Linked DNA regions of Oryzias latipes. The protein of the gene in region 2 binds, or shares a complex with, the protein of the main gene of each other region. Links are inferred from orthologs where the notes say so. Each region holds a gene or a part of one and is shown on either strand. Other genes may lie near its edges. The genes, in order: cpsf3, cpsf2 and cpsf4.

Region 1 (3,366 bases), about 17 Mb from region 2:
AACAAGTGAGAGTGTGTTTTTGTTGGCTGAGGTCAGTGTGAACAAATGCTAGAAATAACCAGCAGACCTGAAGTGCAGAAATTCCATGCAGCTCCTGAATGCACCTCCAGCCACAGTGTATGTGACTTAAATGTGTGCAATAAAGTCAGAATGAAATGTTTGGGATTGATGTTCAGGCAGACACTTCAGTCCTGGATGTGAGTTTGAGCCGTCTGTCAGAGATGCTAAAGAAGACCTCACATACCAAAGTGACTAGAATAATATAATCCTTCAAAAACAACATGCTAAAAGGTGACAGTGCAGGACATGTAGAACACAGATATACTAGTCCAGGCCTGGCATTTTGCACCAAAGTCACTTTATTCAACTTCAATGTGGCTGACTCGGCGTGCACGGCTGCTTTGATAGGATGGATCTGGGCTTGATCTGCAGGTGTGTGAGTGATTACCACATGGGGAGGCTTGAGTGCTCGGATGAACTCGCTTGTCTGCTGGTAGTCTGTGTGAGCAGAGAAGGAGATGTAGTCCACAGACATCTTCAGAGGGAGCTTCTGGCCCGACATGGTGGTGATCTCGTCAGGCTCCGTCATGATGTGCTGCAACAGCAGGATCAGAGCAGGGGCAGAAATGTGAAGCACGTTTCTCTGTGGAAATGTGAGCTGGACTCTGTTTTCACTTCAAGTCTCTGAACCTTCTGAGAGACGAAGGGCAAACAGACCAGCGATGCTTCCTCCACCAGCATCAGTTCTACTTTTGACAGGTTTTCTACAGTGTTTCAGTCAAATTGGACTGATCTTCACCCTAATGTGTTCCGTGTTGTCATGGCAACACACTGCCACCCACAGTCCTTCAGCTGCATGTCAGCAGGATTCCAGCTGGTTCAAAGCGCTGCAGAGATGGAGGGGGTTTCCCCCCAGTGACGGGGGCTTTGGCTAAGCAATTCTTGGCAGGTTCACCTTGGCCAGCGTTCCCTCAACGCAGTATCCAGCGATGATGACACCGTTTCTCTTGTCCGTGCACCAGCTCTCAAACAGCTCCCGGGACAGACCGCTCTGCATCATCCCGGGGGACGCCATGACCACGCTGGGGCCAATGTCATCAAAGTGATCCATGCTCTGAAAGCACAACAGCATTAATACAGGAGGCGGCTTCAACAGAAACTCTTATTTTAACGGTTTCATTTGTCATTAATTTTTGTTCTTTAACCACCTCTTTTACAAACATTGAAGCTGTTTCAAATGAAACTACATTTAAATAAGAGGGAACTGTGTCACTTTTCCCTTTCTGCTTAAATCATTACCACGATGTTGCCTCTGTTGAAATAAAAGTGTCTTTCCCTGGACTTTTTATGCCACATTTTATGTCAAAATCCTGGGAGAAACAGCAAGTTCTCCAGTGGTGTGAGATGAACCAGTCACATTAGGCTGAAGAACAGGAAAATGCAATAAAGTGTCAAAAGTTGAGTGCTAGAACACACATGAGCAGCAATGTCTCCACTCTCCAGCTGGAGTTAGCTCCTCCACTGTGTTCATGTCTCCTGGAAGAGGCCGATGCTTCCTGACGCCTGTGCTGTTCTCCTTCCATCACTTCAGTGTCACACATTCCACACTGTTGGGAGGAAGCTTCCTCCCAGGCTGAGCAACACCATGACAGAGCATGACAGTCTGGTGAGGGGTGGGGGGGTTGGGACAGCGCTTCACTTACAACTTTGTGATGCCATCAGTTCAGTAAGTGCACATTAAATGATGCTCTGAGTTTCATGAACATGTCAGAAATGTGGCTTTGGCGTGTGACTTTGTCTTTGCTGCTGCAGTTCTGTGCTCACCTTCAGGTTACTGATGTGTTTGAAGACAAAAGGGTTGTTGACGTTGATGGCTTTGCGGATCTTGTCGTTCATGGCGTTGATGTAGGTTTGATAGACAGCCATGCATTTCCGGGCCAGAGACGAAGCGTAGTAGATGGGAATGTCGTGGAGCTCTGGGTGGTTCTGCCAGTACTCGTCTGGACCACAGGCACAAACAGTTTCTGCGTCACCATCATCACAGGCTTCAGAACCAGAAGGTGATGATCTGTGCCTGTGCACTCACCCAGGATGAGCAGCAGCTCTTGAGCCCGTCCCAGAGCAAACACGGGGATCAGACAGCGACCCTCCCTGTTTACAATGTCGTGCACCGTGTTGCAGAAACGGGCCTCTCTCTCCTCACGCTTCTCATGGATGTGTGTTCCATAGGTGGATTCCTGACAGAAAGGATCAGATATTTGTTCAACACCATTCTGAGACGGGACAGAGGACCCAATACTACCAGACCAACAGACTATGGAGACGAAAAGCTCTTAGTTTAGAATTCATTAAAACTCGGTATATTCATTTAATGAGTAAAACAAAATTCTCAATAACTCCTACGGTGTTTTTGCATTAATAACATGAGCACTTTCCATCTAGAGTCTGGTGTCTTTTGGCTGCGTGTTTGGACAGCTCACAGGTCTAACCGCCCTCAGAAGCAACGTTTTTGTGACATTTGAGACGCCGTGCGCTGTCTGCATGTACTTTAGAAAAATCCAGCCGCACTTTGGACCCTTTGCTCGCGTCGCTCTGCCATCACTGTGCGTTTGTCGTTACACACTTGTTAGCAGTGGAATACATGAGGGACAAAGTATGAGCAGCCCCCCCCCGTCGTACTGGAGCAGGAAAGGAAAAGCAGCCACATTCAAACAAAGTAGTGCACGCTGTGTGGGCGCTGCTGCCCCACTTGGCCGGTACCGTTGATCCCATTATGGCTGAAACCTATCAGTCCAGTAACTGATGACGTGGCACTGGTACCAAACGATACCGTTTCAGTACTGCATCCCTACTGATGTCTGAACATGAGACAGCATGAGACATGAGCCTGCGCCTGAGCTGGTCACTAAGGGGAGGAAAAATATCTGATCATCGGGGGGGGGGGTTTAAAGCCAAACTCACTGTGATGAGAATGTCTGGTTTCACACTTGGGATCTCCGCCGCCATCAAGTGTCTGTCCTCTTGGCGGGAGAAGTCTCCTGTGTACAACAACTGCAGGGACACAGACAAGCACTGAGCACCAGAGACAAACCGCTTTAGGAAGACGGATCCAGACACAAACCTACCTTGACTCCTGCGATCTCGATCATGAACATAGCGGCTCCAAGCACATGGCCAGCATGATAGCACCAGAACTTGATGCCAGCCACCTCCTTTACCTCGTGGAAGTTAATGGTCTCAATCTTTTCCATGCTGTCTTCCAGGTCCGTCTCCGTGTAGAGCATCTCATCAGCAGAAATGTTACTGCAGACACACAGACGGGTCAGAACAAAAAACCCAAGCTGTGCCCCAACTCCAGAATATCAG
Region 2 (4,136 bases):
AGTAATGACGGTCGGTTGATGCTTTCTAACGTGCAGCCGTTGAGGTGGCTAAGACGGATAGAAGACACTGAGAATCCAAACGTTTCTTACAATCACATTTTGCTTTGACGTTACTTACATTTCTCTCTTGTGGTTGAAATCCACAGCATATACAATCTCCTCCTCTCCATCCTTGACAATTTTCCAGATGGTTCCTCCAATCATGTGTCCAGCTGGAAGAGGAGTGATGGAAAGACCATGGCCTTTTCCTAAAAACCAAGGGAACGGATTGATTAAAAATACACACATTGTTAGAATGGCCAAGTTAGAGCAGTAAAGTAACGGAAACTCACCTTTCAAATTGACAATCTGAGAGTATTTTAACTGCTGGATTTTGTCAAAAGCGCTGTCGACATCATCCAGGGTGAAAAGTGTGAAGTCTTCACTGTTGTTTCGAGACTAAATGGTAAAAAGCAGAAAACATTTACAAAAAAAAAGCAGAAATTTCAGGCCTATAAATGACCTCATCTTTTATCCATTAGCCAATTCTAAAAGTCCCTCTCCTGCTTTACCTGATACAGATCATACATGAACATCTGACCCATCTTGTAGACAGGAATTGTGGCATAGATGGTACAGTTGAGGCCCAATTTGCCCACGGCATAAGGGAGGGCTCCGAGGTGAATGGGGTCAGGGTGTGAGAGAAGAACTGCATCAACCTGATGAACATAGCTGCCGGCAGAAAATTACACAACAATGGGTTTATAACAGAAATATCAACATAATCAGAAAAGCCTCTCACAAAAAAATATATCATCAGCTAATAAGTCCATGATTAGTAGCAATTATTTCATTATAGACGTGTATTCGGATGTATATGCGTATGTATATATATTTTCCAATCAATTCATGACTAATTATCCTATCTATCTATCTATCTATCTATCTATCTATCTATCTATCTATCTATCTATCTATCTATCTATCTATCTATCTATCTACCCAGGCTGTGTCCCACCAAAGTGGGGTAGCCTAGACAGGGTATCCATTCTTACCGCCCTCCTTCTCTTCCACAAACCCTCCTCCTTCAGTGTGTGCGTGTGTGCACGTGTGTGTGTGGGTATGTGACTGGTTTAAGCCACACCACACTGCACCAGGGTCAGCTGCACAGCCCAGTGTAGGCACCTCCACAGCAGGGCCTCAGCCAAGGCTAGTTTCCCCTTGCCGCTTCATCCCAAGACCAGACCTCTACCACGCCCATCCATTCATTCATACACAAACTCTCTCCACCCATCCCTGTCCTGAGCAGCCTCTCTCCCCTGCACCACAGTCATCCCTCTTGCATTCATCGCTCTTTTTACACCCTCTGTCCATCCCATTCGCGGTCTTCCTCTCATTCTCACTCCACTCACATCAGATTCGTACACCTTTTTCACCAATCGCTCCCTTCCCATTCTTTCAACATGTCCAAACCATCCCAGTGCCTTTTGCTCTGATCTATAAGCCAACTCTCGCATCACACCAGTTCTTTCTCGGATTACTTCATTTCTCACACGATCCATACGTGTCACCCCACACATACTCCTCAAACATCTCATCTCAACTACATTCAGCTTCCTCTTTTCCACCACTTTCAGACTTCATGTTTCAGCCCCATATAACGCTGCAGGCACCACCACACCCTCATACAATCTCATTATGCTAAGTTAGATATATCTACGTATAGATCTATATTTCTGTTGTTTCTCTTCGTTAGTTTGATTTTGATTAAAATGAACTATTTCCAAATACACAATCCAAATGTTTACAACGTGATGTGGATTTATCCGCTCAAATGTGCTTAAGTACTGTCAGATCTTCCCGAACGACATCACAATGAACGATCAGACTGTGTTTATATCTTTATATACATTTTGCATGACCTATTATCAGAATCAAATCTGTTTTGAGGCACAGTAAACATTTGACAATACTAGAAATTGAAATGTCAGCTGCAAAATCCAGAATACAGCCTAAGAGAAAAACAAACAAACAAAAAACACAAACAGATTCAAACTTTTTTCCAGAAAGGGGGTTGAGGCTTAATGGTCCAAGAGGAGATGCTCTGGTACAGCAGGTGAGAATGGATTTGATGAGGTGGTTTAGAAGTTCAACAACAGCCTCAAAGGAAGGTGGAAGATCTTCAGCTCCCTCAAGAGACTCTGAAGTATATGCATGGGTGTAAAGTTCTTATTTACTATCAAACTCACCGCTTCATGGCATCAATGATGTCCATTGAAAAATGTTCGTCCCATCCACAGTCCAAGAGGATGCGAAATTCATCCACCTGCAGGAGATAACAGAGGGCGGACTCCTCCTGAACCCCTGACACGGCCGTCAGCTTTATAATCGAGGTCATTTTTCTTCACTATAAACGCTGTGAAAAATAAAAAAAGATTAGCACAGTGCCCTTCCACCGACCTTTGATTAAAACAAGCTTGTACAAAAAACCCGTTTACGTTAATTACAACTAATATTAGGATCAACAAACACGGTATATAATAGGTGTTATAAATTTAAAGGAAGTTTAGTGTGGCGGGAATTAAACACAAGATGCGTAATTAAAATCCCACAAATTAATGGAACCGATAAGAGACTTTGGTAAAAACACAAATAATAAATAAAACAAAACAATGTGGTTGTTAGCTAAAGTTAGCACGGTCGTTAGCTAGTTACCCGGCAAGTCCTTTTAGCATGTTAACGTTACTGGTTGTTCACTGCAGTTTCATTGTGTGTCATACCATTTAAAGTGGGTTTGAATTAGTTATCCTTCCTGAGAAAACAAAGTAAATTAACCGACTACAATTCCCAAGTTAAAGCATTTTCTTTAGTAGCTACTGTCTACAAAACATTAATGTGGTAGACATTTTTGCGCCAGCATCACGTGACACAGGTCAAATGAATGTACCACTAATAGGGGTGTTGCCACAATATAAATTGCACCAAAACAACGCCAAAATGTGTAGTTTTTAAAAGATGCGGTATAATATTATAATTCTATTCTATTATTCTACAGTATGTAACTTTCCCTTTTTGTCATGTATTAGCTTTGCAAGTTGGCTTTCACGCGCTGATCCGCGTCGTTGACACTCAATTGGTAGAGTCCGATGTCCTTCGCTTGGCGAGTCGGTAGCTAAAGGCCGCTGGTTGATACAAAAATAAGGTAATATTTTTTACAATGGTCATTACATTATTGTTTTTTTCAATATATTGTTTTGTTTAATGCTGTGTTACATTTTGGGTAAATAAATAAGCAATTACAATCATTCTTCTAACAAAATAAAATGTTTGCTGCTAAATTTGCTAACTGCTACACAGCACTGTAACTAATTGATCCCTAACCAATGTTTGTTAGTATTATTTATTGTTTTTAGCCATTTTTTTTAACTCTGAGGTGGCTTATTTTTTTTGCCGTTTGTAACACTTCTTTCGTTCTTATTGGTGTTATAAGAGTCAAGTTAGCTTAAAATTAAATGGATAAACTTGTCAAAGGAAGGCAGCATTACTTTGTGTAACCTTTTTTTTTCTTTCCAAAATATGGAAGCCATTCAACGTCCTTTACAGAGATTACATACTTTTGTAGCTTGAAGGAGAATGAATGATAGCAAAACACAGTTTAAACGAACTAAATGATGAATGCAACTGGGAGTGCTGCATTTCAGCAAACCAACATTAAAGAACAACGGTTTCAGTTGTTCGTGACCTGATCTACTAGTAGCTGGTGCATAAACAGCTTAACATCAGAGGTCCAAAAATATCAAGTCCTATTTGTTTTTGGTTGCTTGAAACAATTTGATGTATACAACAATTTTTGTTGACAATAGAATTTAAAAATATACTTTTATGGGTTTTTAAAACTGTTTATTGGAAATCCATGTTGCTATCACCCTCGGTTATGTTAGATTTTATTGTGTCTTCTAATCTGCCCAAATTTACTTTATTCTTAATTTCAAAGCCAAATAAGTGTCATTACTGCAGTTTAATTGACATCAAATCCTCCATCTCAACTTTAAATGTGTGTAAATATAATTTTTTGTTTTATTCTTTTAGGGAGCCATGGTGAATCCTGCAGCCCGCCGATACTGGGTACATTTATTTGTTCCCATGGGCTTTGTGAT
Region 3 (4,427 bases), on a different chromosome or scaffold from region 2:
GAAAGCAGAAATGTTTACTTACTGCATAAATTTACAGGATTTGCCTTCTGGACAGAAGCCCACCAGATAATTCACACAGATCACTCTTCTGGTGTGTCTGTGTCTGCAGTCAGGACCTAGTGGGGAAGGAGAACAAAATGAAGATTACTTATATCAGTGGTTCCCAACTTTTTTCAGGCCCCGGTCTGATTGAACAGTCAATATTTTCACACAGCAGTCTGTATGAGACTGAAAGGGACGACCAACTTTTTTTTATCTTTGCCTTCAGTTTCCCTTTAACTTTTGAGGGTCAAGTTTATCTTCATCGTCTGTAAAATATTTGTATTTCTATGGATATAGTTCACCCTGAAAGGCTTAAGAAAAGCAGGATACAGGCCCGTTAATCCATAACTGTCAAAGTGGAAGCTACAAAAATCGAATTCCAACTTCAGCCTCGTCTGACTTTTAAGGACAGATAAATATGAAAAATAATTGTGTCTAAAAATTGTATTTTCTAAACATACTAATAAACCATTTCAGCAACGTTATTTGCAAACATCCTCGTAACATTACACAGCAGGTTGCTGAATATGATGCCCCATTGTTATGGCGTGTGGGAACAACTGTCACAATGAATCCACATTTGCAGTAAAGACTCCTGGTTTTTGTCTGTTCAAATGCAGATTTCTTGTATTTTGAAGATAAAGGCTCTTCTTCTGTTTCCTCACTTAATATGCTCTATGAACAAAAAAAACTTTCCAGGAACATTTGCGTTTTTGTCAGCACGTCACTGAGCAATTTGTTATGTGTCAAGAATGAGTCAGATGTGGTGGGGAGAATTCAGAAATTTTTCAAAATAAAGCCTCTTTCCGAATCAAATAAAAAATAAAAACGGTAAAAATGTGGGTTACAACGAATCCAGAGCACGAAAACCTGACACTGGGCTGGACCTTACCGTGTTTGCAGAAGCCTCTGTCGTACCAAGGACAGTCTTTGATCTTAGACTCTGGATCGATGTGCAGGAAGGGACATTCCTTGTTGCTGCACTCACCTGAGAGCCAACACACAGTTTGAATCTATCAGACCTGCGTGCTAAGCAATGGAAAGCGTTTTAAACGAGGAAGTCAAGTGAACCCACCAAACTTTGAGTAGAAATAGCATTCAGGCATCTTGGTCATGTCGTATTCGTGCAGAAACTCGCACTGGTCTCCCTTCTTACAGAGCCCTCTGAGCCAGTGCTTACACACCACCGTCTTCTCCCCGCTGATGTGACGGAACGGACACATTCCACCTGAGAGACACAGACACAGCTTTGTGGATTCATACGACACATGCAGGGATCGTTTTCCTCACTTTTATATGAAAGCGTGACCCACCAAAACCTCACACAAATATAGACATACGATTAAAAATAAAGTCTCTGCAGAACTGCCTTCTTTGTAACCCCAGAAATGTAAAACAGGTTTTAGGGTGCACATAAACAGGACAAAATAAAAAGTAAGAAGGCCAGACAATAATGATTACATAAATGATTACATCCAGACCTTTTAGCCGTATTTTGCTCATGTCTGCCTTAGTGTGACACTGAGTACATACAGAAAATCACAATAAAACACAAGAAGTTAATGAAATATAGAGCTGTAAAAGGTAAACTGAACATCACGACAGTGAAAGCCACGAACGGGCAAATGTCCCAACTAAATTCTGTAAAAATCTTAATCAGTGTAAGTCATCTATTAAAAAAAAATGAAATCAGGATTTTACAAACAGCAGTAGTTTGTAACTAAAGCTCTGGCTCATTATTTAAGAAAAAGGAAATAAGGTTATTAAAGAGTTATTTCATAAAGTTTAAAAATTATTTTAAACATTTTTTACAAGTTAGCGTTTGTCAATAGAATGCAAATAAGGTTTTAAAGAATAATTATTTCAAAGCAAACTTTTGCAAAGAAAACAAAAAAGTTTAAATTTACTTAGTTTACCAAACATATCCAGAAAGAAATAATAATAATCACCATTAACCATTTTAAATGAAAGAAAAATATTTAAAAATAGTTGTATCCACCTCTTTAGTTTATCAAAGAACTTTTTTTCAGCGGTTTATTATTTCTGTAATAAAAAAGTTATAGTAAACTGGTTCCCGCCTACAACGTACTAAAATGACAAACGATACCAACAACATGTAAACATTGCAGTTTCCTTCCAAATAAAACGTTTCTGAACATTTAAAACTGTTAAATGCAGATAATAATAGCAGCGCAACAGATGCTTCTGACTGTAGATGCTTTACCTTTCATACACGTTCCCTTCATGAAGAACTCGCACACAGCTGAGCCGGACTCTGCAAAAAGACAACATTATAACTGAACTGACAATTATAACGTGTTGTTTCTATTAAAAATAACAGAAACCAAAGAGGGCGAACCTGAGAAAAACTATGGTTATTCTCAACAAAAAAAGATGCTAGCATTAGCATAAGCTAGCATCCATGCACTTACTGTCCATGCCGGGAAACGGCAAAGGCTGCGCTCCCAGCTGCTGCTCCACAGCGATCTCCAGGTCGAACTTGATGTGATCCACGTTTGCTAGTAGCTCCTGCATGTTTGCCTTGAGTTGGTAGCTTTCAAAGCAAAGACTTGTTCGGTTAACTTAAGCTAAGATAGCTTAATGTCGAAACTGTTAGCCGGCGATTCCCTCATTAGCCAGCTAAAGTGGCTAACGGGGCGAGCCAGGCGAAACAACAAGAGCAGAGGATAACAATGAGATAAGGTAAGGATCACCGAAGTCCTTATATCAACTATTTCCAAACAAACAGGTGAACATGACTTAATATTTTTGTCTCCGAATCGACAGAGGTTCTGTTTGAGGACGCGCGCACATTGACCTCTGACCTGACGAATTCAGACGGATCTAAACGATTGTCGAGCAAGTCGAGTGATGTCACCGTTGAGTTAACCAAACCTGTTCATTTCTGACACTTTGCCTCTGGCAAATGACCAAAAACGAATGAAAATTTCATTTATTTTACTATTTTATTGTTTAGACATATTGGACACGTATGTGCATCTGATCATTTTTCTTAACTTGCACCTCGTGTATGCATTTCCATGTCCAATTATTTATAAAAATAAACAAAAAACAGGTTAAAGTTCAATTCAGAGATTAGCATGTCACACACCAGATCATGAATACAAAATGCTTTTGATGCTTCATCACTGCAAACCCCTCTCCTAAACAAAAAATCACTCATTCAAAGTCTGGTATGATCAACCAAATGATTTGATCCATTGACTGCATAAGAGACTCTAATACAACGTTGTGATCTGCTGGTTTTAGGGTGAAACACGACGCTTCAGAAATGAGTAATTGTTCAGCATTTTATAATCATTGGAAGCATGATGATATGACATGTTTAAGCAAGAATAAGCTTTCTAAGCTTTTATTGTGTTTTTCTACAGTGGAAAAAGAAAAAAAAAACAGTATTCAATACTTTAATACTTCAATACATAGATGCTGAAAAGGCTTTTGACAAAATAGATTGGACATTTTGCAAGTTCGATTATTAGTTCGAATTTGGAAAAACATGTAATTGTTGGTTTAGATGCCTGTACAAGAACTCTAAATCAAAGTAAAAATGATTGGACATTACAGTTTTTTAAATAATAGAAAATAAAATAAAGGGGAGTCAGACCTTACCCTCTACCCTTTTTTGTATCAAACCTCTAAGAGAGATGATACATCAAGAAATTCATACAGGAGTTTATTTATAAATGATCCCTTTATGCCAATGATATTTTGCTATTTGTTAAAAGCCCGTTGCTTCAAGACTTACGTCATGTTGACAGGAATATAGACGTTTCAGGCTATAAAATAAACCAAAAGAAAGCAGAAGTAATGATGTTATCAGGAATATGGCAAAATAACCTAAAACTTTAGATATCAATAAAAATAAGAAGATTTTATTGTATTAGTCTTTAAAAGGACAAAGAAAAAACAGTATTCATTGGCGGTTTCATGAAATCTTTTTATTACAGTGAATGAGTTACACATACTCATGGAATGTTTTTGGACTTAATTTACTAAAAATCGAAATTCCAGTCATGAATTTCCAGTCAGTTTTGATCGTAACATCTAAAAGATGTGAATCCCAAGTAAAACATCAGGACTCTGTAACATTACTAAATCATGACACAATGACATTTGCAGGACTGAGCTTAAATGTGTCTTTAATAAAAACAATTCTATTGAATTATCAAGTGAGGAATGCTTTAAGGTCAGAATACACCCATTGACTGGTGTGTTTAAACAATAAACGTTAGTCCAACTCTCGTCTGGCCTCACAGTTCCGGCAGGCCGGGCATGGGGAACTGACCGGCAAAAGCCTCCACCTCGGCTCTCAGCGCAGCTACTCGCTCCTGAAACTTCTCTCCCTGAGCCAGAGCCTGGACAAA

Evidence for each region.
Region 1: cpsf2 (region 2) and cpsf3 share a complex: the UniProt entries of both Homo sapiens proteins name them as parts of the cleavage and polyadenylation specificity factor (CPSF) complex. The link is inferred for Oryzias latipes from reciprocal best matches to the Homo sapiens genes CPSF2 and CPSF3.
Region 3: cpsf2 (region 2) and cpsf4 share a complex: the UniProt entries of both Homo sapiens proteins name them as parts of the cleavage and polyadenylation specificity factor (CPSF) complex. The link is inferred for Oryzias latipes from reciprocal best matches to the Homo sapiens genes CPSF2 and CPSF4.

What each region holds. Positions count from the first base shown.
Region 1 is NC_019882.2:22,750,240-22,753,605, forward strand, and holds part of cpsf3 (cleavage and polyadenylation specificity factor subunit 3), read right to left. Parts: intron 3,304-3,366; coding exon 3,126-3,303; intron 3,052-3,125; coding exon 2,962-3,051; intron 2,238-2,961; coding exon 2,087-2,237; intron 2,001-2,086; coding exon 1,825-2,000; intron 1,115-1,824; coding exon 956-1,114; intron 596-955; coding exon 449-595; intron 1-448. UniProt on the Homo sapiens protein: Component of the cleavage and polyadenylation specificity factor (CPSF) complex that plays a key role in pre-mRNA 3'-end formation, recognizing the AAUAAA signal sequence and interacting with poly(A) polymerase and other factors to bring about cleavage and poly(A) addition.
Region 2 is NC_019882.2:5,327,507-5,331,642, reverse strand, and holds the start of cpsf2 (cleavage and polyadenylation specificity factor subunit 2), read right to left. Parts: upstream 2,920-4,136; 5' UTR 2,760-2,919; intron 2,396-2,759; 5' UTR 2,378-2,395; coding exon 2,229-2,377; intron 712-2,228; coding exon 552-711; intron 439-551; coding exon 333-438; intron 249-332; coding exon 119-248; intron 49-118; coding exon 1-48. UniProt on the Homo sapiens protein: Component of the cleavage and polyadenylation specificity factor (CPSF) complex that play a key role in pre-mRNA 3'-end formation, recognizing the AAUAAA signal sequence and interacting with poly(A) polymerase and other factors to bring about cleavage and poly(A) addition.
Region 3 is NC_019866.2:19,283,243-19,287,669, forward strand, and holds the start of cpsf4 (cleavage and polyadenylation specificity factor subunit 4), read right to left. Parts: upstream 2,893-4,427; 5' UTR 2,578-2,892; coding exon 2,475-2,577; intron 2,318-2,474; coding exon 2,267-2,317; intron 1,271-2,266; coding exon 1,118-1,270; intron 1,031-1,117; coding exon 935-1,030; intron 117-934; coding exon 23-116; intron 1-22. Other genes in the region: shmt1 (serine hydroxymethyltransferase, cytosolic), read right to left, coding at 4,314-4,427. UniProt on the Homo sapiens protein: Component of the cleavage and polyadenylation specificity factor (CPSF) complex that play a key role in pre-mRNA 3'-end formation, recognizing the AAUAAA signal sequence and interacting with poly(A) polymerase and other factors to bring about cleavage and poly(A) addition.